2 linked regions of the Mytilus edulis genome follow. The protein of the gene in region 1 purifies or fractionates together with the protein of each later gene. This does not show direct contact. Links are inferred from orthologs where the notes say so. Each region holds a gene or a part of one and is shown on either strand. Other genes may lie near its edges.

Region 1 (16,884 bases):
ATGAAACCCCTTCTAATTTTTTCAACAGGGGGTCTGTTGAGAATTCTGTTTTCAACGAAAGCAGGTTTATTTCAAATGTGCTTGTATTGAAACTTGATGCCAAAAATGTATGAATGAATTTTGAGAAAAAAATTCTTTATGCGGACCTTGCCGCTTTTTGTTTTAATGATACTGTAACTGTAGATTGTACAGTGTGCATGTGTTGAATATGCGGACCTGGCCGCTTGTGTCACGGACCTGGCCGTGATTTTCTGTCCTTGAAAGGATATTGCATATCTTTCCATTTCTTTTGCAGATCTCTTTGAGTAAGGAATGGAAAGATATCTACAAACTCTCGCGCAAACCTGGGTTACATAATATCGCTTTTGCAGTTATGGATATGGCTAAAAAGAGTAAATCAGATTCCACAAACAAGAAATACGATTTATATTTTAATAAATTCAAAATTTGGTGCAGAAAGTTCAATTTAAAGTTTTTGCCAGCGGATGTATCTACAGTTTCCTTGTATCTCACAGAGTTAATACAATCAGCTTGTTCAGTGTCCGTACTTAATTCTAACTTTTACGCAATTAAGTGGTATCACGAACTGTTTTTATATCCAAACCCTTGTTGCAGTTCACTGTCAAACATTGTCTTAGAAGGGGGAAAAAGAATTTTGGCGAAACCCATACAAAAGAAGGAACCAATCACAGCGGATATAATTGTTAAATTATTCAACCTGTATCATGATATTTCTAACTTGTCTAACTGTAGGTTACTATGTATGTTATCTTTGGCTTATGCGGGATTTTTTAGATACAAAGAACTGTCGCTTATAAGAATGAGTGATATCAGTTTTCATAATACACACGTTGAAATTATAGTTCACAATAGCAAGACCGATATTTATAGACAAGGTAGTATAGTTATGATAGCAAGTACAGATATGCCGACTTGTCCTGTTAAATTTTTAAAACATTATTGTAATTTAGCTAGTCTTAAGATTAATTCTTCGGAGTACATTTTTCGTTGTTTGCAGTCCAAAAAAGATACTTTAGAATTGAGTAAATTAAATAAGCCTTTATCTTATACTAGAGCCAGGGAAATTCTTCTTGAAGCTTTGTGCGCAATAGGGTTAGACAAAAAGCAATTTGGTTTGCATAGTTTACGAAGCGGAGGCGCTACTCAAGCCGCTAACAACGGGGTTTCAGATAGGCTTTTCAAAGTTCACGGCCGTTGGCGATCCGAAAATGCTAAAGACGGATATGTGAAAGACAGTATTGATAAAAGACTTTCTGTCTCTAAAAACCTTGGCATCTGATATGCACTCTTTCGCCTTTTGTCTCGACTGGATGCTGCAAACCTACATCACATAGAATATTTGTGTTTGTGTATTTAAGCCTTGTATAGAAAAGAAATGCTTTATGTTCGGTTGAACCCGTGAAAAAGAACATAAATAAATTTCTTTTCGTTATAAGGCTTAACGAATACCGTTATGCGTAGTAATTTGCACGGGTGAATCCACCCGTGCATACTAAGCGGGAATTTAAATCATTCGACGGTTTGCATTCAATCAGTCTAGACGTTTAATTCAATTGTTGTTAAGGTCTGTTTGACTTTTCTTTAATTTTTTGTTCTTGTTTTTAAAACAATTTTTGTTCTATAGGTACTGTCTTTCACACGTATAAGCTATTTCTTATAGAAGTATATTACAATTCAACAGACACACATGTACACTGTCCAAAGTTACAGTATTTATTCAATTTCATGTTTACAATCATTTACATGTAGTTGTGAATTGTTTCTAATTTTTGTAATTGTATTTTGTAGATTGTGCAGGCTGTTGATCATACTTCTATAGTGAAGAGAATGTGATAAGGACTGTTTTTTGCGTAACACCTGCCATTCTAAATTTTTTGTTCACATGTTGTTATTATGTTCCGAATTTATTATTAAATGACTGGATGCTGCAAACCTACATCACATAGAATATTTGTGTTTGTGTATTTAAGCCTTGTATAGAAAAGAAATGCTTTATGTTCGGTTGAACCCGTGAAAAAGAACATAATAAATTTTATCATCGGTACAAACACATCATTTGTAAATATCAACATGCATGTACAACTTATACGATTAGGTATTTCACATCCAATCTTTTATGGTTATATACTTTACAAAGCACAAAGATGTCGACATTCACCTAAAAGCTAACAAAACAGATTTTGGCTTTGATATTGAATCACTTATAGGGTCTTAGCATCGGAAATAAACACATTTATTTTAAAACCAGTTGTTGGCATGTTACGGGTTATTTTCTCCTCATAAATTTTATGATGACAGTGGCGGATCCAGAACTTTTCCTAAGGGGGGCCCCGCTGACTGACCTAAGGGGGGCCGCTCCAGTCATGCTTCAATGATTCCCTATATAATTAACCAAATTTTTCCCACAAAAGGGGGGGAGGTGCGGGCCCCCCAGGCCCCCCTGGATCCATTAATTTGATGGAAACATAACCTTTCTATCAGTTTAATTGAGGTTTTGAGCTGGCATGTAAGTGACTGCTACTAGTCCTTTGTTAATTTTTTTAATCATCGTCATTTTATTTAGTACCTTTTGTTGCCTATTCTGACATCGGAATCGGACTTTCGGTGAGTATTGCTGTGTGTGTTCTATATTTACATTGGCTAGAGGTAAAGGGGAGGGTTGCAATCTTACAAAACATGTTTAGGTATCCTCGACGCATTTCTGCGCCTGTCCCAAGTCAGGAGCCTCTAGCCTTTGTTAGTCTTGTATGATTTTAATTATATATTTTTGAGTTTAATATGACGTTCAATATCCCATTTTTTTAGGGGCCAGGTGAAGCACGCCTCTGAGTGCGGGATTTTCTCGCTGTGTTGAAGACCCATTGGTGGTCTTCAGCTGTTATCTGCTCTTTGGTCGGTTTGTTGGCTCTTTAACACATTCCCCATTTCCATTCTACATTTTACCAAACAAGTTTTGCCCTATTTGAGATCTCTGATTAGAAAGTTAATTATCTGGTGATCATCATTTTAAAAATTAGCATCATCGTTAATTATGGTCTTAGTGTTAAGGAAAAGCTTCGACAAAGGATCTGTATTTTAATCAGATTAACTATGTAGATAAGATGGGTGTTATTTAATAGATATATTATAAAACATTATTTCCGAATCTTGGAGCCCAAAAAAGGAGCCTTATCACACCTTCTCATTTGAGTAAACATTTTTTACTTTCTTCATTTTGTTTAAGTGATCACACGATCCTATATTATATGTATCTGTTATCTTTTCTGAAAAGCTCAAATGATTAGGGTTGAAGTCATAAAACTTTGCTTAGTGCTCGGAGCACAAAATTCATGCTCGAAACATGAAATCCAGCATTTTGATTGGTTGATTTTGGAGTATGCGAACAAAAAACTGACTCGATCTATCGAATTATCAACAAAAAAAAACAACAATTATATTTGTTAATAGAAATTTTTAAAATGAACTATTCTAGAACATTTGCAAATATGTGTAAAGTAGAAGAAGGAAGACTTTTGTCTCATTTACAAATGTATTTAGTTCTAATATTTGATAATTGATTACCTTTCAGAATAGTGATTCACCAGTCATGGTAAAACCTTGTTGTTTAGCATCTATTAAACCAGTAAAGTCCTCTGTCTGGTTTAATAGCTGCTAAACAACAAGGTTTTACCATTTATGAGTTTGGAGACATCACAAATTGTAAGTATAACAAGAATGTGTCCATAGTACACGGATACCCCACTCGCTCTATCATTTTCCATGTTCAGTGGACTGTGAAATTGGGGTCAAAACTTTAATTTGGCATTTAAATTAGAAAGATCATATCATAGGAAACATGTGTACTAAGTTTCAAGTTGATTGGACTTCAACTTCATCAAAAACTACCTTGACCAAAAACTTTAACCTGAAGCGGGACGAACGGACGAAAATCTGCATCCATTAATAGCAAATCATCGGCCTTTCATCTTTCATATGGATAAGATCTATCGAAAAATACACTTGTTCGTCTGATGAATGGTTCGCTTCCTCTCATATCAGCGCTGCCTCGATTTTTTACGAGCAGTCGTAAGCATATAACAATATTTACAACACATCGTATCGTAAGTTTCTTTCGTGAATACAAATTACAACATACGATATCGTAGACCTTACCTTACGACAGTCGTAACGTTACGAGAGTTTTGTGAATACGGGGCCAGTTTCGTAAGTGGGTGCATTTTAAAAATACATGGTCTTTAAAAGTATATTGAGAATGTAATAAGAATATAGGGGACATTACGATGTGGATACCAAGTAGCCTGTATCCCAGACGCTTTTAAGTCTGGTGCAAAACCAAATGTATTGCTAAACCAAATCATCTTTTTATCTATATACCAAAAAAAATAAAAAAAATGTTTTTTGCAATTATTGTAAATATGTTTAGCTTTTTAATTTGTTTCCCTAGTATGTGCCTTCTTGTAATCTTCAACATATTGAAGTTCAGAAGTATTATGTAGATGTAGATGTAGATGGATATTAAGCAAATAAGGAAGTCTATATAAAAAAAAGTTAGCCGGAAAAATACAGCAAAATCATAATGTTATTTTCTAAATTATTTAATAATTTCGGACGATTTAAAAAAAATGGATAGCCCATGATTCTGCAGATTTTATTAGAATATATGATAAACAGAATAATACATGGCAAAATCCGTATCGCATGCGAAAAAGGAGAAAGCTCGGTAATCATTGCATTTCCCTCTCATTTAAATTAATAATTTTTTAAACAAATAAATGTCACACAATAAACGAATTTCGAATTTGTAATTTACAATGACGACTTTTAGGGGGGATGTTCACATTAGTGATAGACTGTTTGAACGGCAAGAAACGCCAATTATCAAAATATTTGATACCGGCCCGAATTTAAAAAAAAATCATACAGAGGATATATAGATTTTTGTCACACTTAAATTAACACTTTAGCAATGACTACGTGGTCGTTCTTCTAGATTTAAAAACAATCACTTAAGCCTCACCGGTAATTATAAAGTCTATCACATATTTTATAAAACCTAAGCATACTAGCTTTTGCAAAAAGATTATTTATTAACATCCGTGTTGCTTAAAGTTTTAAGCCCTTTAACATTAATTACCCTTTTGATCCATTACACATCAGCGTGATATTTAATTGTACTTTAGCAAATAAACAACCATCGCACTTTAGCGTGATACACCATCGTACTTTAGCGTAGACCATATCGCACTTTAGCGTGACCATCGCACTTTAGAGTAAAAAGTAAAAACACAAAAATACTGAACTCCGAGGAAAATTCAAAAAGGAAAATCAAAAATCAAAAGGCAAAATCAAAAGTCCAAACACATCAAACGAATGGATAACAACTGTCATATTCCTGACTTGGTACAGGCATTTTCTAATGTAGAAAATGGTGGATTGAACCTGGTTTTATAGCTAGCTAAACCTCTCACTTGTATGACAGTCGCATCAAATTCCATTACATTGTCAACGATGCATGAACAAAACAAATATACTCAAAGAGTAAAAATGTCAAAAATAGGGATACAACAGTCAATATTGTGTTATCATCTTAATATCACTACATAAACAACAAATGTAACAAAGTAGCACAAAAAGGCATACATCAAATTTAACATTCTCATTTTGCTTTTCTTATACGGCTGAATTTATCTATGTAAAGTCTACCCATAAATGAAAGAAGGTTTTCATTACTGGTGTAAAATTGCGCGTTTGAAATTCGCACAGGTAGACATAAAAATAATTTTGTCGTATGACGGCATACATAAATGCAGACTCACGTAAAGTAGATATAACAAAAAACAGACTTACAGTAAAAATAATAAATAAAATAATGGCGTGGTTCAAAGTATGACGGGACACATAAGTACAGTTTCACGTCAAATACGGCTGAATTTATCTATAAAATAGTTTAGTCATTCATAGTATGTCAAGATCCTTAAGTAAAAGTAATATCAATAAATGAAATAATTTTGCCGTTCAAAGTATGTGGTTTTACGTAACCACAGAGTCACTTCAAATGAATATCTAAAACAGACATATAAAAGAATACTATAATACGTAATTAAGATGCTAACAAACGTCAGTACGCAAAATCTATACTTCAAGACCATCTTGTATTATTTGTGAAGTTGATACGGAATATTTATCAACAAGTTCTGGGTATCTTCCGATGAACTTTTTAAGAAAAAGGACGAGACGTTCTTTGACATACCCCTGGTTCATCAATTTTCTGCTCAGACACTGGTAACGTTTTACAAAGTCTGAATAGGAGCTGCAAGCTCTTGAATACCTAATAAGTTGGGAAATGTATATTCCATATGCAGGTGAAGTTGGTATATTACTACTAAGGTGGGGGAAATTGATAATTTCAAAATTAAAATCGTCTCGTTTGTCATAGATTCTGGTACTGAGATGACTGTGTATGTCAAATTCGAGGTATAAGTCTAAAAATGAGGCAGAGGAAGCCGTGTCTGTGGTCTCTTTAATTTCTAGTTCTGGTGGGTATATTAATGGAATCCAATCAGAAAAGTTCGGATTGTTAATGGAAAGAACATCATCAATATATCTGAAAGTGAAATTAAATAACCTGGCTTTTTTATCTTCTTGTTTTTGACAAGTGTCTGAAGGAACTCCGATTCATATGAAAATAAGAAGAGGTCGGCAAGGAGAGGCGCACAGTTCGTTCCCATAGGAATGCCGACAATTTGTTGAAAAAGTCTACCTCCAAATTCAACAAATATGTTGTCAATAAGAAACTCCAGCATACTGATCACTTGTTCCTCTGTGTAGTATGTTTTACCCTTTTGTTCCTTATTAACAAAATATGCCTTATGGTATCCCAAAGTGATAAATTTATAGCGTATGCTACCATTTTTATGATGAAAAGCATTGTGAATTATTTCTTTTAGACGGGTTTTCAATTTCACATGGGGAATGGTTGTATACAAGGTTGAAAAATCAAAAGTTTTAATAGAACTAATTTCAGAAAAAGACCGAGATTTAAAATTATCCAGAAGTTCTTTAGAGTTTTTCAGAATCCACATATGGTTAATACCACTACGTGAGTAAACAGTTTCACAGTATATCTGAAGACCCTCTTTAACTGCGGACAGAATTTTAGTCAATCTAATGGACAATTCTTTAGTAGAACAAGCAGATGAGCCGGCAATGTACCGTTGTTTGTACGGAATTTTGTGAAGTTTAGGTATCCAATACAAACAAGGTAAGTCCTCCGATTTGTTGTTCAATGCAATGTTCATAGAAGCCATGAAGGACTTATGATTCGCCAAAATCTCATCCTTGTCAAATGATATGTTTTTGTATGTGGGATTACCTGAGTGTTCATTTATTCCTAATTCTTTTATAAGACACTCGTAGTAATACGATTTACATACAAAGACAATATTATTTGAAGCTTTGTCCGCAGGAACAACAACATACTTATCTTGAAGAGATGATAGACATTTCACAGCCTCTTTGTTACTGAAAATGGACTTACTAGATCGATCATTCACACAGTTTTACCATCGCACTTTAGAGTCCTACATATATAATAGCCAAAATTAATAATGTATTTCGTAAAAATATACTATTTTGTAATACAGGTCATATCCCAATTTTAACAATTTTGTTTTATCTCAAAGTCTGTGATTTCTATTTCGTTTCGTTTCGTTTCGTTTCTTTTCTTTTTGAGTTTTCTTTTTCGCTTCGTTTCTTTTCTTTTTGTTTTTTCGTTTCTTATTATTTTTCGTTTCTCCTTCGCGCTGTTAAATCGGAGCGTGTTTTTTTACCACAGAACCTAAAATACCACTAAACTTTACAAAAAATCAAAAAAATGTTTTCATTTCAGTTACATGTTTTCTTTTTTCCGTTTCGTAATCTGTTTCTGCGTTTTAGCAACACCCGTTGCACACGACACTTGTCCACATTTTCTCGCAGTTTACGGTCACTTACCGGTCACTTGTTCATAAGAAAATCTTATCTCTGTAGGTATGGCAGCTAATATAAAAGCAGTTTGTGTCTTGAAAGGAGATGGTGCTGTTACAGGAACAGTCGCTTTCAGTCAACAGGTAATATTTTTTTTTAAATAATTTTCAAAATTTGTTGCTCATGTTGCTGGTCAACATAATTTCCATGTCATATGACTACAGTTTGACCTTTTGTAATATAGCCCCCTTTACGGCAACCTTTTCTATGAGTTTCGTAAAAAAAACTTTATCCTAGAAAGGAAATTTCAAATGACTATTAAAAGTTACCTCTTTGTCAAAGGTCAAAACATAGAACATGTATGTTGTCAGACTTAGAGCACAGGGCTAGTATCACTATCAGGTTGGGAATGTGTTTTTATCCAGTACCTTGGGAGATACTATTATTAACCGAAAAGGCAACCAGGACCCTCAGTTTTTTCCGCAGGAACCTTGGCCAGTGTAAGCCATCAGTCAAAAACACAGCCTTTGGTGCATTCAGACCATCGATGGAGTAAGCTTGATCAAAGACCTTGAACGGGTACAGTGCAAAAAAGCACGATTGGTATACAACTAGTACACCGACACTTCCTCAGGCTGTGTCACTGGACTGAAAGACCAACGCGAGTGGGATACCCTTCTGCAAAGATAAATGAACCAGTGACTCATCCTTTGCTACAAGATCAAGAACCAACTAGTGGATATACAACCAGCTTTCAACTACACACTGGGGGACAACAGAACAAGGGTAGCCCATAGTCTGGCATAGAATCAACACCAGATAAAGAGCAACAAATATATATTTTTCACCACTTGATTTTAACCATTTTAACCCCACTTAAAAGGATAGTCGTTACATTTAGGGGTTATGCCTCATTTGAGGGGCTGTTGTATCATAGATGTTTTTGGGATGGAGTTACTCCGAGTATAGACCTTGTAGCAGTACTACTGTGTTTTTAGTGGACTTTTGCTTAAAACAGAACAGAATGCGTACCAGTGGACTGGCATATGTTTTCGCCCTCAAGACACCTATTATCATGATTATCATTGTTCTTACAATTCAACTGTCTATACAGTATCACTCTGCTCAGCTCTTCCTAAAGGTCTCACTAATAACACAAAGAATAAAAAAGTCTAAATATTACGAGAGTTCAACAATGATCAAAACTATTGTCTCTATATCTTCGATCACCTTAAAAATTCTATGCCGTATGGTTGAAGAAGAGTGATTAACATTGAATGTAGAATAGTATGTCATGTATGTGGACAAAAGTTATTTGATATTTAGGTCTTTCCACTTTTCGTGGAAAGACCTTTTGTTTTTCTTCTGATTATTTTTGTTTTTCTTTTGCCGTCTGAGATGCTTTTTTGTTTACAACATATCAAACTGATTTTTGGCCAATGATGTTGTACAGTAATTGAGGCTTCAAAACTCACCCTGTGTGACCGAACGCTTATTCTTATAGGAGTTATCTCCCCACGTCCCCTTTTTCTTGTTATCTTTATATCTGGAACCGTTAAAGATTTCAACAAACTGTTTTCACCAAATTGTTTGTCTGCTCTTAAGAACGGTTTGATGAATTTAACTGGAGTGATCGGATGACATCTTATGGGAGTTATCTCTCTTTGAAAATTTAAGATAGGTGATATGTTGGATAAATTCATACATTATAAGTCGTAGAGGCCTAAAGTCTTTTGATATGAAGTCCTTGTTCCGTTTGGAGAAAATTTAGGTCAGGGTCAAAGGTCAAGGTCATGTTCTAAATTAATTTTGCTTGTTTATATCTTTATTCAAAAGAAACTAACAGTTAATGATATGATGTGTTTGCCAAATAAATGTTTACGAAAGGGCACAACTTTAACCTGTTTAAGTCGGAAGTGTTTAGATCAACCCTTATAGGAGTTTTCTCCCCTTATGTATTTGAAATTAGTATTACTTCACAACCATACAAGTGATTTACCTGGGCTCTTTTGATTTGAGATCACTGACCTATGACCTTGAAATTGAGGTCAAATTCAAAGGTCAATTTGACGTTCTAGACTTTGACCTTTGCTGAGAATTCTTACTGGTTCATTATAAAACAATAAAGTCTTCTGCATTTGGTTGCAGACATTTCATCATGTACCATGTCAACGGGAAATGACCGTTTTTTAACCGGAAGTAGCCTATTTCAGACTATTCCTATGAAAAAGTACCTATAATTGTTTTTATTATATCAGTTTGAAGTAACAAATTACATGAACCATGAGTGACATTTTCCAATGTTCACTGTTTTTTAAATTGCATTCTTATTATCGAGGTGGAAAGACCTTCAATTGTTCTCTGAAGAATTGGTTTTTAATATTTTTTTATTTTTGAATTTATAAATTTTGTGTACATTTGTAAACCATGAATTTTCAAGATTGCAGTTTGAATTTTTGATCATATTTTTCTCTTTCAAATTATCTCTGATTTTTTTGACAAATTGTAACCTAGAGGTCACAAAACAAAACAAAAATTCATGTTTAAGTCATAAATTTGTTTGAAAACTTAGATTACATTTATTCAAATCTATTTAAATTATCACATAAATAACAAATATTTCTGAGTTTGATGTCAGATAAAGATTTTATGAAAATGATGTAGGAAATGAGCTTCAACTATTTTAGGAAGTTTGTATACAATTGGAAACATATTGAAGAGAAGACTTTTTGTCTAATTTACATATGTATTTAACTTCTGGTTTTAATATTTGATAATTGATTACCTTTCAGAATGGTGATTCAGCAGTGACAGTGACAGGAGAGTTAACTGGGCTAGCTCCAGGAGAACATGGTTTCCACGTTCACGAGTTTGGAGACAACACAAATGGTAAGACTATAGACACATTAGAACATTTTAAACAATTCCTGAAACTTTGAGATAAATAGAATTGCATTGAACATGAAGTTATACATTTATGAATATACAAACTTTTTTGTTTCTGTTAGGTTGTACTAGTGCAGGATCACATTTCAACCCATTTGGAAAGACCCATGGTGCACCAGGAGATGAAGAAAGACATGTTGGTGATCTGGGAAATGTATTAGCAAATGCAGATGGAAAAGCAGAAATTAAAATAACAGATGCAAAGCTATCCCTGACTGGTCCCCAGTCTATCATAGGAAGAACAGTAGTAGTAAGTAATATCAGAAACCAGACACAGCCTAGGAAAAATATGATAATAAGTCAAAAATGTTTATGGCTATTCCACAATATAACGATACATGTACTAAAAACATGTATTTTTTATCAATATCAATAAGGATGCTTAATTCTACAAACATAACATATACACAACCTAGGTTGCCTTTTCTTATTTTATTTTTAAAGTTGTGTAAAATGTGTATTATCATTTGCTAATGCATGACCTCAATTTTTCATACATGTGGACTATATGGATTGATTGTAAAAAGTCTAGGTCTGTCTGAATATGTTATGTGTAAGGAGATGTGATAGATGTGAAACAACTCTTTAAAAGAGACTAAATGACCCAGAAATTAACAACTTCAGGTCTTCGTACAGTCTTCCACAACGAGCAAAGCACATTTTGCATTATCAGCTCTTAAAGCTCCAGAAATGACAAATGTAAAACAATTCAAACAAGAAAACTAACGGCCTAAATTATGTATAAAATAAAGAAAGAAAAACAAATATGTAACAAAGCAACAAACAACAACCTCTGAATTACAGGTTATTTTGGACAGGCACCTAAATAATGTAGTGGGGTTCTAGACGTTTGAAGGCACCAACCATCCCCTTAGCTGTGACAGTGGTGTAACAGTACATCATAAAATCATGTCAATCTGAATTTTATCACAATACCATAACTTCATTTTTATGCTCTCCAGGTTTAATCAATTCAATAGTAAAATACAAAATAATGTTGAAATTAAAATAGCAATACTCATGATATTATAACATGTTAAATATGCAAAATATTCAGGCAATGAACCATAAGTGAAAGTACAGGAACAAATAAAGTCCATCTTATTGATCCATGCTTTCTTATTTGAAGGTGTCACTTCTGATATATGTAAAACATTAAACACTTACACACATTTTCTATTTCTTTTCAGGTCCATGCTGATATAGATGACTTAGGTAAAGGTGGCCATGAGCTAAGCAAGACAACAGGCAATGCTGGGGGTCGTCTGGCTTGTGGTGTCATTGGAATTTCAAAGGTGTAATGCATTCAAATGAATACTTTATGTAGTAGCAATGCAAAATGATTTTTTTTATTATTATTTAAAATCATGTAACAAAGTGCCCATAAGAACATGAAGCCATTCCTTGTCTCTGTATTACTGTAATAATTTCTATTTAGAATGTTCATGGCCATAGAATATTGAGTGTGGTATGATATATCTTTTAATTTTAAACTTTATGGAAAATATACTTTCTTCAAAATTGAAATCCTTCATACAATATGTCAATTGAATTATAACAATAATATACAGATAGAAGCACTGTAAATATTGATTCTCAATAAAAAAGAAAATGTTTAAAAACAATGAACAAAATTGTGGATGAAAAAGAGTATAAATTCAATGTTGATTGATACTACATGTAGTACCTCACTTTTATCCAGATTATTTACATTTATAGTTTTATTGTGAATAATGTATGTACTCTTGGTGTTTTGAATTTTTGAACAATAATACTGAAATGATAAAGGAAAGATTCCATCTTGTGCTTTATGTTGTATTTCTTGTTTATGTTAAGTTCTTACTAATACATTCTGTAATCAAACTGAAATGACTCATGATTGGCCCAGTAGTTATATTGATTTGCATTCAAATGCCGAGTCCTAAATATAAAATTTGAATGATGTCCAGTTTGTATGAGCCAAGTAAAGCTACTTTTTGACGTTCAGATACAACTTATAATATTTGACCTTCAGATACAAATTGTTTTATGTGAAGTAACAAGGTGTGTGAGGATATGTGGTGTCCAACTGAAACATACAGTATTCAGTAACCACAAATTGAAACTAATTGAAGCTGTTTTTAAGATCAGTGTAAATTATTTAAAACCTACATAGTAACAGAAAATGTTTCTAGTTTCATTTTAAAGGGCATAACCTTTATCTTACAGAATACAACTTGTCAGTATTTAATATTAATATATGATTTCATCCAAGCCATGACGACTTTGTGGTAGATTAGGGTCTAGCTGTTCCTATCCAAGAGTGCACATGATGAAATGCTTCTCCTGCTTTACCTAGGCTATTGAAGACCTGTTGGTGACCTTCTGCTGTTGTTTTTTTATTTGGTTGGGTTGTTGTCTCTTTGACACATTCCCCATTTCCATTCTCAATTCTATCTTGATTACAATTGTGTTTGTTGTAAGTCTGTGATTAGAAAGTTTTACAAGTACCACAAAAACTTATCAAAAATATTTTCAAATAGGTCAAGGTCATTGAAACCCTGCCAAACGTACATAATTCTGTCTTAGAATCTTACAATCATTCAATACATCACATAGAATTAACATTCAGCTTATAAAACTATTAAACCAAGAGTTTCAAATGGTGAAGTTGAAATCATCCCTTCTTAAATTTACAGAAGTTATCACAAGTTGGTCGACCTATATGGAATATCAGTTTCACAGATAACAGATATGTTCCTTATGTGTCGTGTACTGTTATTTGTGTTTGTCCTTTTCGTTTTTAGCCATGGAGTTGTCAGTTAATTTTTAATGAGTTTGAATGTCCCTCTGGTCTTTTATAGTATATGAGAAACTATACTCCTGCTTTACTTGCCTTAATTGAACTGATATATTGAAAAAAACATGCATTTTTAGAAATAGTACACCACTATTTAAAAGTCATTAATCGATTGAGAAAATTAAAAACTAAGGGAAACACCTCAACAACAAGAGGAAAACAACCGAAAACAAACGCCAACATACATCGAAAGGACTATTTGATAACAACTGCCATATTCCCGACTTGGTACATGAAATTAAGAAAAAACCGTTTGTTGAACCAGTTTTATGGCTAGCCAAACCTAATTACTAGTAAATGGATGTGTTAAAACATATTGCTTAAATGACAACAATATGTGAAAGAAATACTATACAAACATGCAAGAAACACTCAGCACAGAGAAACGCATAAATAGATAATATGTTATACATTACAACATGTAAACTGCAGAATAACAACTGACATCTTCCATTCAGGACACCACAAACAGTGACATATATATATAATCTTGAAGTTCATACAATTATTTGAAACAAGATCCAAAAATTCACAGGTACCTTATAGACCTATCAATGATCCTTTAAAATATGTTCTGGTCATATGAACCCTACCACGCAGACGTACATAAACATCTAACAATCATTCCATACATCACTTATTATTAGCATACTTATTATACCCCACGCAACGAAGTTGCGGAGGGTATAATGTTTTTGACCCGTCCGTCCGTCAGTCCGTCCGTCCGTCAGTCCGTCCGTCCGTCAGTCCTGTTTCTTGTCATCGCAACTCCTCTCAAACCACACAACAGAATTTCACGAAACCTTTTCAGATGAAAAGGACATACTATGTAGTTGTGCATATCGACAGGAAATTGCGATTCAATTTTTTTTATAAGAGTTACGCCCCTTTGAACGTATTTGCTTAATGTACTACTGCAACAGTTTGTCATCGCAACTCCTCTGAAACTACACAACAGAATTTCACGAAACCTTTTTAGATAATAAGGACATACAATGTAGATGTGCATATCGACAGGAAATTACGATTCAATTTTTTTTCTAGGAGTTACCCCCCTTTGAACTTATTTACTTTATTGTACTACTGCAACAGTTTGTCATCGCAACTCCTCTGAAACTACACAACAGAATTTCATGAAACCTTTTAAGATAATAAGGACATACTATGTAGATGTGCATATCGACAGAAAATTACGATTCAATTTTTTTTCTAGGAGTTACCCCCCTTTGAACTTATTTACTTTATTGTACTACTGCAACAGTTTGTCATCTCAACTCCTCTGAAACCACACAACAGAATTTCATGAACATTTGTAGATAATAAGGACATACTATGTAGATGTGCATATCGACAGGAAATTACGATTCAATTTTTTTTCTAGGAGTTACATCTCTTTGAACTTATTTGCTTTAAGGTACTACTGCAACAGTTTGTCATTGCAACTCCTCTGAAACTACACAACAGAATTTCATGAAACCTTTTAAGATAATAAGGACATACTATGTAGATGTGCATATCGACAGGAAATTACGATTCAATTTTTTTTCTAGGAGTTACATCTCTTTGAACTTACTTGCTTCAATGTACTTCTGCAACAGTTTGTCATCTCAACTCCTCTGAAACCACACAACAGAATTTCATGAAATTTTGTAGATAATAAGGACATACTATGTTGATGTGCATATTGACAGGAAATTATTATTCAATATTTTTTCTTATAAAATTTTTTTTCTTACACTTATTTAATTTCTCCAATGACAATGTGGGGACGTGGGGTATGTGAGCGTGCTCACTAAGGTTCTTTAATTTTTTTTGAAGAAAAAAACCTGATTATACAATGAACATTAACCAATGAGTAGTTTAGATATATGATCTTAGTTTAAAATACCACAGTTTTCAAATAAGTTAAAACTTAGATTATGATTCTAAACATCACGAAAATTATGGCCATGGAGCTTTGCCTTGGGCTTAAATCTTCATAAAACATGACCAAGTATTGTCTAACATATAAATAGTGCATGGAAAACCATGCACTATGAAATTTAGAGGTGAAAAACTGACTTTTCATTGGACGAGAAGGGGGTGGTATGTTCTAAACCTACAACATATGAAGAAATGAAATTCAATTGCTTATAGCTTTTGATAAACTGGGGGTTCCCAACCCAGAGTAAAAGGGGGGGGTTCCAACTATAGGCTCCCATTCAAATGCATTGATCGGCCAAAAAAAAAGGGAGGGTTCCAACCCCCGGAACCCCACCCCCCATGGATCCCCCACTGATTACAATAACTCCATACTCTTCATACATTTAATCTATTGCTAGGTATCTGAGATACGGACTTACGGATTTAATATAAAAACTCATCATTGATTGCTGATCCATTAATTAAGTTTGAAGTCGGGTGAAATTCGACTAAAAGACCAGTAGAAATTGCTAGGATATAGTATTATTAACCAACTAAGTACATTATAGCCAAAAATGACTGTTTATTAAAAATTACATATTTTCTGTAATGGCCCTGTTTTTTTCTGTAATGGCCCTGTTTTTCTGTAATGGCCCTGTATTAATGCCTAGTTTGTCTGTATTAAGCCCAGTTAGGGTTTTTAATAAAGTTAATAAAATTAAGTTGTAAAGAGTATAATACCTTTTTATACGACCGCAAAATTTGAAAAAATTTTCGTCGTATATTGCTATCACGTTGGCGTCGTCGTCCGAATACTTTTAGTTTTCGCACTCTAACTTTAGTAATAGTGAATGGAAATCTATGAAATTTTAACACAAGGTTTATGACCACAAAAGGAAGGTTGGTATTGATTTTGGGAGTTTTGGTCCCAACATTTTAGGAATTAGGGGCCAAAAAGGGCCCAAATAAGCATTTTCTTGGTTTTCGCACTATAACTTTAGTTTAGGTTAATAGAAATCTATGAAATTTTGACACAAGGTTTATGACCACAAAAGAACGGTTGGGATTGATTTTGGGAGTATTGGTTTCAACAGTTTAGGAATTAGGCGCCAAATAAGCATTATTCTTGGTTTTCGCACAATAACTTTAGTTTCAGTAAATAGAAATCAATGAAATTTAAACACAATGTTAATGACTACAAAAGGAAGGTT
Region 2 (16,774 bases), on another chromosome or scaffold:
CAGTAGTAGGTGTTTGAAAATTAGTACAAAAACCTTTTAAAGTTTAAACTGAATTGCTTTGTCGTGTTGACTCAACAGTTTCTATGTACAAATGTGTATATGGTGTTGTTCTTTCTTATTCCAAATTTATTAGTTTATCAACATTGTTTTAAATGCCTTCAGCTTATCATTCCAAACTATAAAATAGATTGAAAGATATATTCATTCCAATATAACTAGGGGGCATATTATCTAATAGTCATTGTGAACACCAAATTCATGCATTGCTATGCATCAAATGCACAACTGTGAAATCTTCTACTGACCTTTTTAAAATTATTGGGTAAAAAAATCTTCCTATCTTTGTATTTATAGTCATTTATAACCTAAAGTGGATACGAGTCTGCACAATGCAAACTTTTATCGGTTCTGAATAAAAATGTTAGTAGAAAATAGAATTTGAACTGCAACTTAAACGAAGATTGGAACAAGTGTTCAGTCATTTTCAACAGAAATTTCTTTTTTTTTGTTATTCATCAAATAATTGCAAGACAAATAACTTTCATGACACCATTTTGAAAAAAAAGTCTATTCATTCAAATTAGTCCACAACAATACAATGTAGTACATATACAGAGGTGAATCTGTTTTATAAATAGGATAGAACTCATTTTGCATACCAGTAGATAAACTCAAGAATTCATCCAACAGAATTTTAGCAAAGTTTGAAATTAAACAATTTACTCAAGTCAGTATATGTATATTCTTTAGCTTTTGGAGTTTAATGTACTCAAGTCAGTATATATATATTCTTTAGCTTTTGGAGTTTAAAATTGAAAAGGACTAATTCTAAAAATAAAAAATCTTGGATTAAATGTATATTTCATACTCAGTATCTGAACTGACCAGGGCACTTTTCTTAAGATCAAGTTTTTATTTTAATTCAGTTAGGAATGTTAAAACCACCTGAATATAAAAAATGAAAATGTTCTGCACTAAGCCTAAGACTATGGTCTAAAGTCAACATTACCTTACTATTATAATAAGTCATCACAGAATTTTAATCCAACAAATTTATAATCCTTCACTTCGAATCACTTTACTTTGAATTTATTTTCCACGTATAACAAACGTGTATTTTTGTATCTATATTATTTTACTCCATTATACTGTATAAATTCCTTTAATCATATCCAAATAGAACAGGAATTGTTGAAAGCAAATGCACCAAAAAACATGTGCATCTTTGTTTTACTTTTCGTATTTGTGCAAACTTGGTTGCCAAGAATTTGTTCTATCACAAAAATCAATTGTTTAAAGTTAACTAAACACCAGAGTAACAATTGACTTGTCTTATCAGTGACGGCTATAATTGGCCAAATTTTTCTAATTATTGACAGACAATATTTACACACAGTAACACAATATAACAAAAATGTTATAATTAAACATGCTCAAATTATTTTAAATCCTTGATATATGTCTCAAAACGTATGTGTTAGTCAATGAAAATCCTCCCCTCATAGATATGTGACAACAAGTCTAAGACTGATCGTTTGAAGATATCATCAAAATTTGCTATAATTAATAACCTGTGAATCGATTTATAGATGATCGCACATGGCGGATCAATCATTCTACCGATCAATGGAGTAGGAATTATGGAATCTTTTGACGAGGGATTTAAAGTTTTAACAAGGTAGGTATATATGTAAACCGATAAATGTAAACCTAAAATACATAAAAACTTCCAATTAAAAGTTGTTCTCAAAAGAATAGGATATAACTGTAATGGTAAAGAAAATAGTTCTATTACAATGTAAATTGTTTAAAAGTTTTGAGGATAATGGTTAAAGTTTGAAAAAGTTAAATTTTAACACCTGAAGTACACGTATGGGGTAAATTGGACAACTAAACATTATCATAAAGATTTAATTCAATACATATGTATTAGCAATTACCTGCTAAATAAAATTTTCAGTAAATAAATAAAAATGTTAGATCACTATTTGATATGAGTTATATTCATTGTTTAGAAAATTTATTAAAAAAAAATTACATTCTATTTAAAAATGAATTTACATTGATTAACCTGCAATGTGTTTGTACTTAAAAACTGCAGACAATAATTGTGATATTTGTCAGAAAAAAGATTGCATTTCAAAATTTAAGTATAACAGAAATCAATAAAAACTCAATTTACTTCAGAGATCCAGTATTTACCCGACCTCAATAGTAACCAAGATAAATATTAATGCATGTCTATATTAAGCTTAAATGAGAAAGGCATATCTAATTGAGAGTTAAGCTTATTACGCCATTAATTCAGACTATTTAAGCATCTTTATGGTAGTCCACTCAGTCAGATTATTGATGATTTTATCATTTATTTATAGTATCTTCAGTGAAAATCAGCCTATCTGTGCCATTAAATAAAAGATAAATACCTCTCATTTATTGTTTAAAGTTTTCTCACATGCCATTTTACAATAAATATTTATCTCTGATGAATTGAAGATTAAGTTCATTGTTGGGATTTAGGTAAAAGAAGTTTTGTAAACTCTCTATAAACACAGACTTTCTTTATCTTTACAATTTGTCAAGTTTTGACAAGGTAATATATTTAACCTGTAAATATAAACTTTTTAAAAAACATATTTCTGAAGTTCATACAGTAAGGTTAAAATTGAAAAGAGAGGCCCACTATAATTGTAATCTTACGTTCTTCTACAGTTAATTGATTTTTTTTTGTTCCAATTGATAACCAAATAATAGTAATAATGAATCCACAGTATAACCTTAATTGCAAAACAAAAATAGTTTATGCTGTGTTATCAAATAAGGAATAAAACTTGCAGATGCTTTTAGATTATCTTGAATTCATAAGCAGACTTATCAGACATGTAATAAGCGAAATCTTTTAGCAGTGCATAATAACATACTCTTGCACAATACAGTCAATTTATTTGATAGAATCTGTACCAACACTATAAATAAAACCATGAAAAAGGACTTTTAAGAAAATAAGTCCTATATTAGAGGGTTTGGATGGGGTTAAATGATTAAAGAATAATGCCCTTAAAAAATGAAGATTAGAGAATAACGGGCAAAAAAATTAAGATTAGAGAAAAAAAGGGGTTAATTTTTTGAAGATTTGAGAAAAAAAGGGGTTAATTTTTTAAAGATTAGAGAAAAAAGGGGTGAAAATGAAATGTTTACAGAATAACAGACCCCCCCTCATCCAGACCCTCATATAAAATACATTCATATCTGTCCAAAGTGTATAAGAAACCAAATTTGCATGAACGAATTGAAATATCGTGTCATAGACATACAAGACATGCATATTGTTAGCTAAAAGTTAGTCCTTTTTTACACAATTTAAAATTCTTCTTCAGAGCTTCAAATGCAAATACTGGTAGTATAAAGCTTTTTATCAAAGTTGTATTTATATTTTTTAAATGGTTGAATGAAAATTTATAACCATGTAATATATTTGAATGCTTCATTTTTTAAAGATTTAAATGATGAAAAGAAATAAATCATGAAGCGCATATTCAATTCATCATACTTTAAAGTTTCATTTTTTAAATTTATATACAATATATCTTCAATGTTGTACCGGAAGTTTGATCAAAGTAAATATAACCACCTAACAACTACTGCTGGGTTTGTAATTTTCTTTTTAATCAGTTCATCGCACACTAACAAATACAAATACTTTTAAAAATGGGAGATAACTCTAGTTTAAAATTATGTATTTAAATCTTTTAAAATAAGACTTCAGCTAGAGCCTGCTCTTTTGGTGTTTTTTTTAAATAACAAATAAACTTATCATATAAACCATTATTAAACAAATTTTCGTATTTGAAATGTTTTTTTGTGAGAGAAAAAAAAGGACAAACTTTTTATAAATACTTAGAAAAAATATAAGAGATAGATACGACCCAATATTCCTCTATATCTCTGACATGCAGAATCCATTAAAATCTAGTGTATGAACGTACAATGTCATATGTACAATATATTTTGAAAGTATACATTTTGCGAGCTTAATGCTGACATCAAGGCAGTGATATATTTATGGAGGTTATTGTGGTGTAAAAACATTTTACACTATCTTATGCTATATTTTTGTAGAATAATTATCCCTTCCACGATATTTATCTGAATGCATTCTACATAAATGTGTCTACCTTTTTTGAACGGTACATATGTGTACAAAAAACATAAATTAATTTTAAAAGGTTTATATTTAATATTATTGTGTATTGGTTCATGCAGTCACTGACCTACATATACTACATTATAACATGTAATTGACAGCTTAGTTGAAGGCTTGGTAAGACACTAAAAAGGTCAAAATCTACAGAATGTGTTTCTTATTATATGTCTTATCCCTTGTAATTGTAAAAGATTACCCTAGCTATTTAGTCATTTAATCAATACATTCTAAAACAGCAGACCAAATAATGTATCTATTTCTGAATGCTGAGCAGTAATGAACTTATCTTAATTGTGTATGATAAATGTCATAAAAGTAATAAAATTAACAAAATTCTATAAGTATGATTGAATAAAGTTCATAAGAGTACAGAAATGACAGACATGTATGTACAGTTTCAAGCAGACAAAATGACATGACTGTCTCAAGCCATGGATGTACTTTGCAGAGATCTACAAATATAGATTGCTTATTAAATGTATAATAATGCCAAAACAGTTATCTATCTTAATAATCCTAAATGTATTGAATGTGTGGAATTTCCCTTTTTGTATAACAATATTATACTGAAAACCAGATCAGGAAATATATTATTTTTGTAATATTTTTATCTAAGGATTGACCAAAAGCATTGAGCTGACATATGCTGGTGGATGTATATTAACTCTTATAGAAAACATTAAAAAATATCATAGATTTTACCTTTAATTGTATCACACATAATTTCACAAGCTTGTAAATATTTGATGGTGAGGCACAACTTGAAAAGACTTATTGTCTGTAGTTATACCTTTGTAACTGTCATTCCAAGCAATATTATATTACATGATTTATGTGGACATACCTGTCGATATCTAGATAACTGATGATAGAAAGAAGTTTTCTACAGAAAAGAGAGAAAAACAGTAAACAAAGGAATAGGAAGAGCTGACGAAAGTGTGTCAACTGTATTCAAGATATCTAAGGAAAACTTGAACTCTCAATCCAATTTGACTTGAATTTGTCTTTTGACTCTGTAAAACTGTAGTACAATGTACCATTTATAATATTATTAAATGAAATGATTAACTTGTTGGAATGTACTTGCAGTCCCTTTTTTCATAACAGCAGAAACATAATAAGAAGTTGTATCTTTTTTGACACAGTTTTCATTGATCTAGTACAGCATATTTTCTATTAGCAACCTCCTGCAACAGTAAAATATCAATGCCAATGTATTATGTCATCTATTATGAATGATAGCAATGTCTTCAACACATTCAACATGAAAGACTTGAAAATAAGCTTTCCAGTAAAGATACTTTGGAGTGGAGAATATGGTAGGGTGAAGTAACAATTGTGGTGAATGTTACAATGTTTTTCAAAAATGTTCAACTTGATATTCCAAACTATCACACCTAGCAAGATATGAATTAACATGTAAAGTGTGAAGTGAAAGTGTTAATTGACAAATTGGTTCAATACAAATTACAAACGGAAAAAATATATATTTCATGTATTTTGTAAATTTATTGAACACATAAAAACACCAACACCAAAGTTACAAGGGAATACACAGACTCTTTTTAATGAATCTTTTCATTGTCTGAATAAGAAGGTGGAAACCATCATACAGAAATTTACAATATGTATTCAATCTTTTAACATAGTTAATTATTTCTGATTTTTTACTATCATTTTCCAAAAAAAGGACAATCAAGATATATTTTCTAAAGTTACTAAAACACAGGTTTGTTTATAACTATGTCTGACACTAATGCTGTTGTTTATGAAATTGAAATATATACACAAGCTAATGATAAAAAGTAGGAGAAAGATAGGGTTCTTTTAACTTCTTTAAAGACATTTAAAAGATGTATGCACTATTTGTTTTTGTGACTGCTGTTAGTCTGTATGTAAATTCCATTTCAACATGCAGTAAATTAAATGTTCACTATATAAATTGCAAGATATTTTAATTTTAAGCCTTTTAATATTTCTAGATTCTTATTGTTTGTGTAATTTTGATGCACTAGTGAAAGCAAGCTTTTATCCTCAAACAAATATAAAGGATATTTGTTTTTAAAATATGAACATACATGTAGATATACTATAAATGTTGTGTTCCATGTTTGCCTTAATAAAATAAAGCAAGCAAAAAGAGTGTAGTGAAAATTTTGCATTCTGTCACTGCATGTTTACATGTTTGGTATCAAAATGTTTTAAAGTGCCTGTATGCCAATAAGGCTAAATGTACTATAGACAAGATAGAAAGGAAAAACAACCATCACCAAGAGAAAAAGAACATGCAGGTCTATTGGAAGTGAAATATTAACAATGTTACTCTACCTGAGTGGATGATCTTAATAACTGACTTTGTGAAAACTGTCGCTCCTATTAAAATGAGAATTGTACAAATAAGAAATGAAGTTACATGTTATCATTTAACTATGATAATGAAACTTGAGCCTGTGTATCGTGTAAACATGAATAATAAATAACAGTTTAGGAGGAGATGATAAACTACAAATATACCACTGCGCTTTTTCTTTCTGATTTTGGGCATCTGGTTTTTAAAGGTAACTCCTAATTTTAAATTTTGTTACTTAAAATGTAATGTATGCATACAATTTAATCTGAAATCTTTGTTATTGAACACCTGTTAAAATCTTAGTTCTTACTACAAGGGCATAATGTTGACTACCACAAAACGTAGTTCTAACTGCAAGGGCAAAGTTCTGACATATTTACTTTTGTGGCATTACAATAGATTAATAAATATTCACTTACTGGTGGTGGATTTTCAATTTCTAATGTGAATGGTACACCATTATATCCAAACTTAATTAGGTCTCCAGGCGCCAATCTGACAGTTGCATTCTGAACTCTACATTCGTTTACATATGTTCCTTGGGATGTGTTCAGATCTTGCAGCACATAACCATCTTCTTGTTCACTGTACTCAATAACACTATGTTGAAGGTCAACACCTTGTGTCTGTAATTAGTTTAAATAATCATTCAAAAAGCATGAAAAACAATATTAACTTTACAAAGCTAAATAATCTGTAAAAGGTGTAAAAAGTGAATGATCAAGGAATATAAAACATTACAGGCGGGTCATGGTAGGAGTACCTTCATTAGGAATAATGGTAAAATACCTAGCTAAATGATGCCAATGATAGTTTTTGATGCATGATGATAAATGTACAATTTTAACTGATGATTGAAAAAAAATCATCTGATTTTGACGAAATATGTTTTATTTATTTTGAAACATAGTGGCAAGACATGCAAGAGTAATTTATTTGACACCCCTGACAATTCACACTGTAATTTCAACAAATTTGACATTAAAAGTAGCTGCAAATGACTGTTTGATACTAAACATAAGAGGCATTCCTACCCTCTTACATTCTGAAGGATGAACAACCATGAACCAAAATATAATGAAATTTGATACTCTCAGACTAGTATGAGATTACTCTGACGTCCAACAGCTGTTTGCCAGACAAGCTGGGGCCGTGGGCCTGGCAAAACAGCTGTTGGACGTCAGAGTAATCTCAGACTACTCTCAGAAAAGTGATTTGATCATCTTTTTTAATATAAAGGTACATGAATATAGGTGATTTTTTCAGAGACAAGTGAGTAGTGTCACCTTCATGATGAAGGACCTTGGATGGAAACCTCTTGTGGAAAGAAGACGCTAACAACGACTGGTACTACTATACAAAATAGTGACTGACCTGGTAGCCATCCCCACTGAACATCACGTAGAATTTAATACTAGACCATCCAGAACTTCAAACAAATAAAACTCTTATCAGCAAATATTGACATATATAAACATTCATTTTTTCCACAAATTATCATTGACTGGAACTTACTACCAAATACTACCGTGAACTGTAAAACTGTGGAAAGTTTTAAGGCACTAAAGGCAGTTTATAAATCGTGTGACTAGTTACATCAGTGGCGCACACACACTTCCTGGATAAGTTTTACTCAGTATTTTGAGTTCATTTCCAGTATTATACAGATACTTGAAGTGGGTCTCAAAATTTTATCGCTATTCTCAGCTGACCTGAGAATACACCTTATCGCTATTTGTCCGCCATTACTGGACATCACACAGGTTCCCGTAAAATTTTGACGTCATAATTCAAAATATCTGACGCCACAATGGAAAAGTGATTGTTGTATGACGCCAATAGTTCAAGCGGAACAGATTCTCGGGTCAAGCGGAAATAGCGATAAGGTGTATCGGTCCTGCTTGAACTATTGGCGTCATACAACAATCACTTTTCCATTGTGGCGTCAGATATTTTGTATTATGACGTCGAAATTTTAAGGGAACCTGTGTGATGTTCAGTAATAGCGGACAACTAGCAATAAGGTGTATTGAGGTCTAAGCATGACACAGGATTGGCTTGGCTTCCTTTTTTAGTGGGACACGTAAAAGTTGAATAATTTAAAAGCGTGAAAACAGGATACAAAGTCTGGCGGGAAACGTGAGATAACATGCACTATTGTGGCATGGAGAAGCAGGATATGGAATTCTCAAAAAACAATAAGCCAGATCCAGGATCATACCCCTCTTGAAGTGTGGTTTTTCTGTGTACTACACTTTTTTCAAATATATGAATATTCAATAAATCTATACCTGTAAGTTGATGTCACAACCTTCACGTCCAACTGTTGTCACTTTGGGGGCTAAAGTAAATGCAGACCCATCATTTCCTTTTAAAAATGCTTTCATCTTGACACTCTAGAAAGTTGTTTACATTTGGTTGCTGCTCGGGTTACCAAATACTCATGAACAGGTGCCCGTTTTCCCACGTGTTTCCTGAAAATATTTCTTCAGTTGTCAGTTTTGATGAGATATTTGCAGACTCTATCAATGTAGGATTAAATTCTCCACGTGGGATTAGTAAATTAAGTCAGAATCAATTGTTTTTCTATTTTACATGCAGAATAAACAAGTTTTTTGTCGGCGCGAGTGATGTTGCGCATGCCCAATAGCGCATAACAACCAAACATCCGAAACCTCGAACCTGGATACAAAAATAAGCAGAATTGTTTTTATCTCTGAATAATAGTTTTAATCTTATAAAGGCTATATTTTTAATTGTCTTTTCTAGTGTTATGTAAGATATAAATGTTGAAGGTACACTTTAATAATTTTTACAAAAATTTTCTAGTAGAGATTATTGAATAAAAAATCTGTATCTTTCATACGTTTAAACTAACGAAGTAACTAGGAGGTTAAACAAGTTGCATTGTGCTTCTGAATTTAATGTTTACATATTTTTTAATAAAATTTGGACAACTTTGAAATATTAAATTGCCAAGTGACAGCTTTTAGCAAAAACAAAAATGCCAAGTGCACTTGTTCTACTCGCCGAAGGGGCAGAAGAAATGGAAACCGTCATCACAGTGGATGTTCTAAGACGGGGAGGAGTACGTACCTTATGCTTAGGCTGAGTCCCAAAATTATAATCGGCCCAAAATAATACACCTTATCGCTATTCCCGGCTATCAGACCCGAGAATCTGTCCCGCTTGAATAAACTTATGTATCTTAATGTACATGTTATTGTAACGGATCACATCAAAGACATCAAATAAGGCGATAAGTCGAGTATGCGTTCTATATAAGTATCTTTATTCTTCAAAACTACATATGGCTAAATATACTATATCATAACAACCGATTCTCTTCAATAAAATAAAATACACATAAACATACATCGTAAGTAAAAATATAACTTAAAAAACTAAAGGCATTAAATACTAATCAAACAATATGATTCACTTTCTTTCACGCTTCATAAGTAACTTGTTAAATTAAAAAGTTAATTAGAATAAATATTAATTTATAAATACTTTTACAATTCTTAATATTTCTTCTTAAAATAAATATTGTTCTTAAAACTGTACATAAATTATCTCTTACCGATTATGATCTCTCTATAACAGGTTGGGAACAAACCCCCTGTAGGGTGATTATACCTCTATAGAGGGATAATCCTTCTTTAGAGGGATAAAATTATCCTTCTATAGAGGGTTATTTTTGTTTGCACTGGATTTAAAGCAAATTAGGGCAGAATGGCATTATCTAGTTATATTGGCTATAATCTCTAGCATTATATGCATCAACATATGCACTTTACTAAAAATTAGGATAACCAGTTTTCTGCTAAAGTGACAAAACTTGCAATCTATTGTAAACCTATCTGAACACCTGATCAACAGCAAAAGGAATAGGTCTCGGTTATTGTATAGAAAGGTATATACTATGAAAATTAGAGCGAGGGGCTTTGCCCCAAAGCTCTTATTTTCATAGTATATACCTTTCTATACAATATCCAATTTAGCACATATTTACAACTTGAGTAATCCTGTAATTAGTCTATTGATATGTTTTGGCTGACTGGATGTAGCTCATTTACGTAGTTTTGTAAATCTACTCACTATAATATCATTGTAAAAATTGGATTTCAAAAGGCCCTTGACTTTAGAATGTAAAGAAGGTAGCTGCTGGTGTACGTATGTTTATTGATATGAACGAAAACGTTGTTTTACTATACATGTACTTATTTACATGGTAAGATGACAAAATGAATTGACCAAGAGCAGACAATTCTTAAATTGCAGTGAAAGCTTTACATTCTTGAAAACATTTTTTTAATTTCACATAAAACCTAAAACTATCACAAACAGTTGGATCCCCGTCCCACATCTTTGGTTGAAACACCTTTAAAAAATGGCTGGATCTGCCCATGGTATGTACCCATAGGTAGTCTAGTAGGTAGTTTATATGCATGAAATATTTGTCACTGGACATTAGGCAACCAATTATCGACCAATTTATGACTAAATATATCAAATTTCTTTATTAATAATTTCCCTTTAAAAGATTCATGGTTGACTCTTTTTGTGTACAAAGTAATTGCATGGAAGATAAAGGATTACAAATTTTAGATTGAGTTGTACTTTAATCAAGGTATAAAGCACCATTATTATTACTCTTTATTTAAATGAAAGAAACTTTTTTAATTGTCAAAACAAAATTTAGATCAAAAGATTGATTAGTAGGATGTTAAAAATCTGTTTGAAAACTAATTACAAACTATTTAGTTAAATTTGGAACACATAATTTATTTCAAAATAGCCAGTAGCAATTTTTGTTCTAATATCTTGATTACAATACAATGAAATCTTACCCTTGTGGTCATTCATGCGTAGTTACTTAGTACACGGAAAAAGTATGTACTATGAAAATTAGAAGGCAAATTCAAGCAATTTGATTGGACGAGAACTTGTAAGTATGTGCTAATGGGCGTATGACATTTGCGCCAATTTGAAAATTTTCATTCTTTCATTTGCGCCAATTTCATTTTTTCATTTGCGCCGATTTTATATTTGTTCCTAATTAGATTTACAGGTAATTTAATACTTGTACATGTACTGTACTATACCATTGATAAAATCTGGTTATAAATGTTGTTTATTTATGTTTAATAGATATAGGAAGATGTGGTGTGAGTGCCAATGAGACAATTCTCCATACAAATAACAATTTAAAAAGTAAACCATTATAGGTTAAAGTACGGCCTTCAACACGGAGCCTTGGCTCACAACGAACAACAAGCTATAAAGGGCCCCAAAATTACTAGTGTAAAACCATTCAAACGGGAAAACCAACGGTCTAATCTATATAAACAAAACGAGAAACGAGAAACACGTATATATTACATAAACCAACGACAACTACTGTACATCAGATTCCTGACTTAGGACAGGTGCAAACATTTGCAGCGGGATTAAACGTTTTAATGGATTCAAACCTTCTCCCTTTTTCTGAAACAATAGCATAACATCACAACAAAGAAAAACATACGATAAAATATCAATTGGCAGACTTAACTCAATCAAAAAACGTATGATTAAATAAGTTTATTTTGATTCATATTGTTCTGGAACTTCGTTGTAACATGATGGACATATTACACACTGAAACCGAGGAGTAAATTTTTTAATCATCGAGGGCCATACATATCGGAACTTTAGTGTCCTGAAACATAAGAACATATCTTACGAATGTACCACAAATCGTGTAAACCCAGAGTCACCACGGATTCTATTGTCAAAACACTGATCGAGCATAAACATGTGGCAGATATCCGAAAGACAGAGGTTAAAGAACTACGGGTACTGTCAAGAAAAAGTCTGGAGGTGTATCTTGTAGGTCTTCTTCCATCTCTCAGTAGTGAGCAGGAGACAACAGTTATATACATGTTATGATTGACAATTCATTACATTTGTACAAATGGCTAATGGAAGAGGTCTTAAATGATAAATGAAAAATGACATGACTTGGATGGAGAGTTCTCTCATTTGCACTCATACCACATCTTCTTATATCTATTCACCTGTAATTTACCTGTAAAAAAAATCGGCGCAAATGAAAAAAAAAATCGGCGCAAATGAAAGATAAATCGGCGCAAATGAAATGCAGATCGGCGCAAATGCAAAACGCCGGTGCTAATTGACCTTTAAATTTCATGTTAAATCTAACAATAGAAATTCTGTTCAGTGAGGCATAAGTGAGTAGAATTTACCTGATCATCAGAGCTTTCAATCATGGTGAACAATAGATTTTATATTTAGTCAGATAAGTATCAAACTGGGTATGTGCATATTAAATTAAGTACATTAATTGGTGCATCAACTGTTCCAGGTTACTGCCATAATAAGTAGAGAATGCCATTCTGCCCTATTTTGATTTAAATCCAGTTTAAACAAAAATACCCCTCTATAGAGGGATAATTTTACCCCTCTATAGAAGGATTATCCCTCTATATAGGTATAATCACCATACAGAGGGTTTGTTCCCAACCTGTATAAAATAATGATGTGTCTCCGAATATCAAATAACTAGCAATGAATAAAAAACTAGACAACGTAACGTACGTCAAAAGCGAAACGTCATAAAACTTAAAAACGGGAGATATTATAATGTTCATGATCGCAACATTACATATGCGCAAATACCCAAAAATAGTATCTACAAGTATTATAAATAAAATAAATAAATTCAGTAATAATAAATAAAGTAACCCAACAATTTGGAATAACATTTCAAATCTAACAATTATATTAATGTTTCCGGATAATAACTAGTATAAATAAATAGAAATCAATAAAATTTTAACATATGTTTATAACCACAAAAGGAAGGTTGGGATTTATTTTGGGGTTTATGGTCTCAAAGGTTTAGGAATAAGGGGCCAAAATAAACATTTTTGTAGTTTCAAGGTTAATAACTTGTGATTAAGTGTATGAATCTCTCTGACTCTCTGAAATTATACCACAATTTTTCCATACTACAAAGGGACGGTTATGGGGGTGGGGGTGGGGTTGTTATGTCTCAAATCATTTAGCAATTAGGGGCAAAAAAAGGGGGAAAACAAGGGTATTTCTGGTTAAAGGACAGTTTTGACAATTTAAAAGCAGTGTAAGGGAGGTAACCTAATTCTATTTAAAGAATACTATATATATGTTTGATTACCTCCCTTACTCTGCTTTAAAATTATGTATTTAGAAATGAATCATGATGATTGTCTTGAGATGATTATCTGTAAAACTATTTTTAGAAGTTACTATTAATTTTAACCATGACTGTATGTCATTTTATATTTTGATATTTCATGATGTATTTAAATGAGTAGTTATTGTTGCAAACTCCATAAGAAATTTGAATTGAGATTATTTTTGAAATAAGGGAAAGGGGGAGGTGAACAGACCACATTCATTCTGTGCCAGAAACCTATGCTGTGTCAACTATTTAATCACAATCCAAATTCAGAGCTGTATCAAACTTGAATGTTGTGTCCATACTTGCCCCAACTGTTCAGGGTTTGACCTCTGTGGTCGTATAAAGCTGTGCCCTGCATTGGTTCAAGAATTGGGTAAACATTATTTTTCACCAGTCACTCGTTTCATATACTTTAATGTAATTGATTACATTACAATTACAATTACATGCTAATTCAATGTAATAGTTTACATTTCAATTACACACTAAGTCAATGTGATTGATTATATTACAATTACACACAAATTCAATGTAATCAATTACATTACAATTACACCTTAATTCAAACATATTCCATTACTTAATATTAATTTTGAGGTTTTAGATTTTGCATCTGACATTTACCTCCTTTTTGCATCAATTGAGTGACCTAATGATGTTTGCTGTAAAAATAATTGCTTTGGACAGTGATATATATATCCAATCCTTTTTTCAATTTTGATCAGAGTTCTCGAACAGTGGTGGTCCCAGGGATTTGACAACTAAAATATGCAAAGGACCATCACAATTTCAGAATTATTAATATAAAAAGTAGTGAGGTCAGCAGTTTTTCTTCAGGGACCACCAGAAATAAAAAGATTTCTAGAACTTTGTTTTGATGCTAAAAAATCATTGGCTGTCAAAAGACTCAATAAGTGATAATTATAAGGTGTATTGTGCACAATCAAACAGCAATACTGTGACAAAAATTAGCAGAGAGACTTGCAGGCTTCAACATACAATGTACAGACATTAACAATAGATAGGTGTCTATAGGGTATCTCAAGCTTTTTATCATCTAGTGTCTATAAAATACGGTACACTATATGTTTATCTGTTTATTCCCATGTGGGGCAACAACAAGGATTTTTGGATTGTAACGTCTTCTATACAAGAGTTCAGCTCCTAAAATGAACATTTCAAACTCTGTTGAAATTTTCATATTTACATTAGAAATCTAGTCCCCCAAGACTATATGCAGATATCGATAAAAAAGAATGAGTTATGGTAAAAATGTTTATATTGTTGAGTCCAGTATCTTCTATGGGAATATTTAACAAGTACCTGCATATGTAGAGGGGTTAAACTAGGTATTTGCAATCTCAACCTTTTCCCTTATTAATCTTGGTCAGCCTGATCAGAGAGTAAAAGAACATACAAATCAGTACAGGAAAACAATGGTCATTGTATAATAGATAACAAAAGCACAAAATAACCTACAAATTATATATACTATATTAAATCATTCAATCCTATGTATACTCTTCATATCCCATGATGTACATGTGCATGTATTTCAACAAAATTAAAGATTTTATACTATTAGATACACTATAGATTAAAATTTCATCAATTATGATGTCATCATATCATAATTTAGGCTTCTACTTTATGTACATATGCCTTTGCTCTTTCTTTATTTACAAATCATTTGGCTTTATTATATAATGTTAGATTAAAACTATGACAAAAAAAGTCTTAACATCCCTCTTTCTTTTCAATTTAGAAAGCTTAAAAATATTTCCCCTGTAAACTTAATGTACATGTAATTGTCTGTTATTATAGGTAGATGTGACACTTGCAGGTATTGATGGCATTGATCCAGTTGTCTGCAGTAGACAGGTGAAAATTGTTCCTGATAAGAGTCTTGATGATGCTTTGAAATCTGGTCCTTATGATGTGGTGGTTTGTCCTGGTGGAGCAGGAGGAGCAAATAATCTCTGTCAGGTATCTCCATAGTAACCATAGCTTATTTATTTCATCAGCTCAACCAGATCCTAAATGATGTAGAACTTTGCAAATATAGGTCACTGTACAGACATCTACAATGAACAAAACGTATGGCATAGCAAGTTTTAAAAGGCTGCGGAATGACAAATGTAAAGCAATTCAAATAAGAAAGCTAATGGCCTGATTTATGCCAATTATGGACATTACAATAAACAGAATAACAAATATGATATACAGCAACAAAAAACACCCAACTGAATTACAGGCTCTAGTAATAGATATTAGGTTTTGGTCTATTTCTCAGATTCTTTGAACATAATGGCTTTTATATTTGATGAATGGAATGAGTGAGGTGTACATGAATGTCTTGTAGATTTCATGTGACCTTGCCGACATTTTCAAAGTTCCTTGATCAATGTGTGCCAGTTTACCTATATCAGATACTTTGAGCTATTAAAAATCAACTACATTTGGGTATGGAATGATTGTAAAGTGTCTGTTTGACAGGGTTTACCTGACTTTGATCATATTTATATGGATCATTGATAATGTTAAATTTATGTGATACCATTCTTTTTGTTCTTCAACATAACTTTTATCATAATAAGTAAAGTAGGCAACACATGTCAGTGTGTGTTCTCTTGTTTCAACTTTTGCATTTGGTATTTGGGTATTTTATGGAAGTTTTAAAATCCTATTTATTTCATTTATAGTCTACTGCAGTTGGGAATCTGCTTCAAGAACAAGAAAAGGGTGGACGATATGTAGCTGCTATTTGTGCAGGTATGACATTATAGTGTTCTTATCTTAAGTCAACGAACACATGATACAAGCCATTTGATGTGCGTGATCTCTAATGGTAGTTAAATTATTTAATCTTATCCTTTTTTGTCATGTGTAATACCTATATAAGTAATATAATGAGAAGTGCATTTTTTTTTTTAAATTATTGAATTTTCTGCTCTGTATGTTCTAAATGGACAAGAGAAATTTACAATCTGGT

What was found.
Region 2: the proteins of superoxide dismutase [Cu-Zn]-like (region 1) and Parkinson disease protein 7 homolog purify together in Homo sapiens (affinity purification with mass spectrometry; 4 studies listed by BioGRID and IntAct, with this or other methods). This does not show direct contact. The link is inferred for Mytilus edulis from reciprocal best matches to the Homo sapiens genes SOD1 and PARK7.

The regions. Positions count from the first base shown.
Region 1 is NC_092353.1:20,698,291-20,715,174, forward strand, and holds superoxide dismutase [Cu-Zn]-like, read left to right. Parts: upstream 1-7,952; 5' UTR 7,953-8,051; coding exon 8,052-8,129; intron 8,130-10,778; coding exon 10,779-10,875; intron 10,876-10,994; coding exon 10,995-11,182; intron 11,183-12,122; coding exon 12,123-12,233; 3' UTR 12,234-12,801; downstream 12,802-16,884. Other genes in the region: integrase/recombinase xerD homolog, read left to right, coding at 374-1,300. UniProt on the Homo sapiens protein: Destroys radicals which are normally produced within the cells and which are toxic to biological systems.
Region 2 is NC_092356.1:41,312,673-41,329,446, forward strand, and holds the start of Parkinson disease protein 7 homolog, read left to right. Parts: upstream 1-9,391; 5' UTR 9,392-9,558; coding exon 9,559-9,642; intron 9,643-15,606; coding exon 15,607-15,768; intron 15,769-16,484; coding exon 16,485-16,554; intron 16,555-16,774. Other genes in the region: forkhead-associated domain-containing protein 1-like, read right to left, coding at 6,533-6,577, 6,974-7,180, 8,846-8,941. UniProt on the Homo sapiens protein: Multifunctional protein with controversial molecular function which plays an important role in cell protection against oxidative stress and cell death acting as oxidative stress sensor and redox-sensitive chaperone and protease.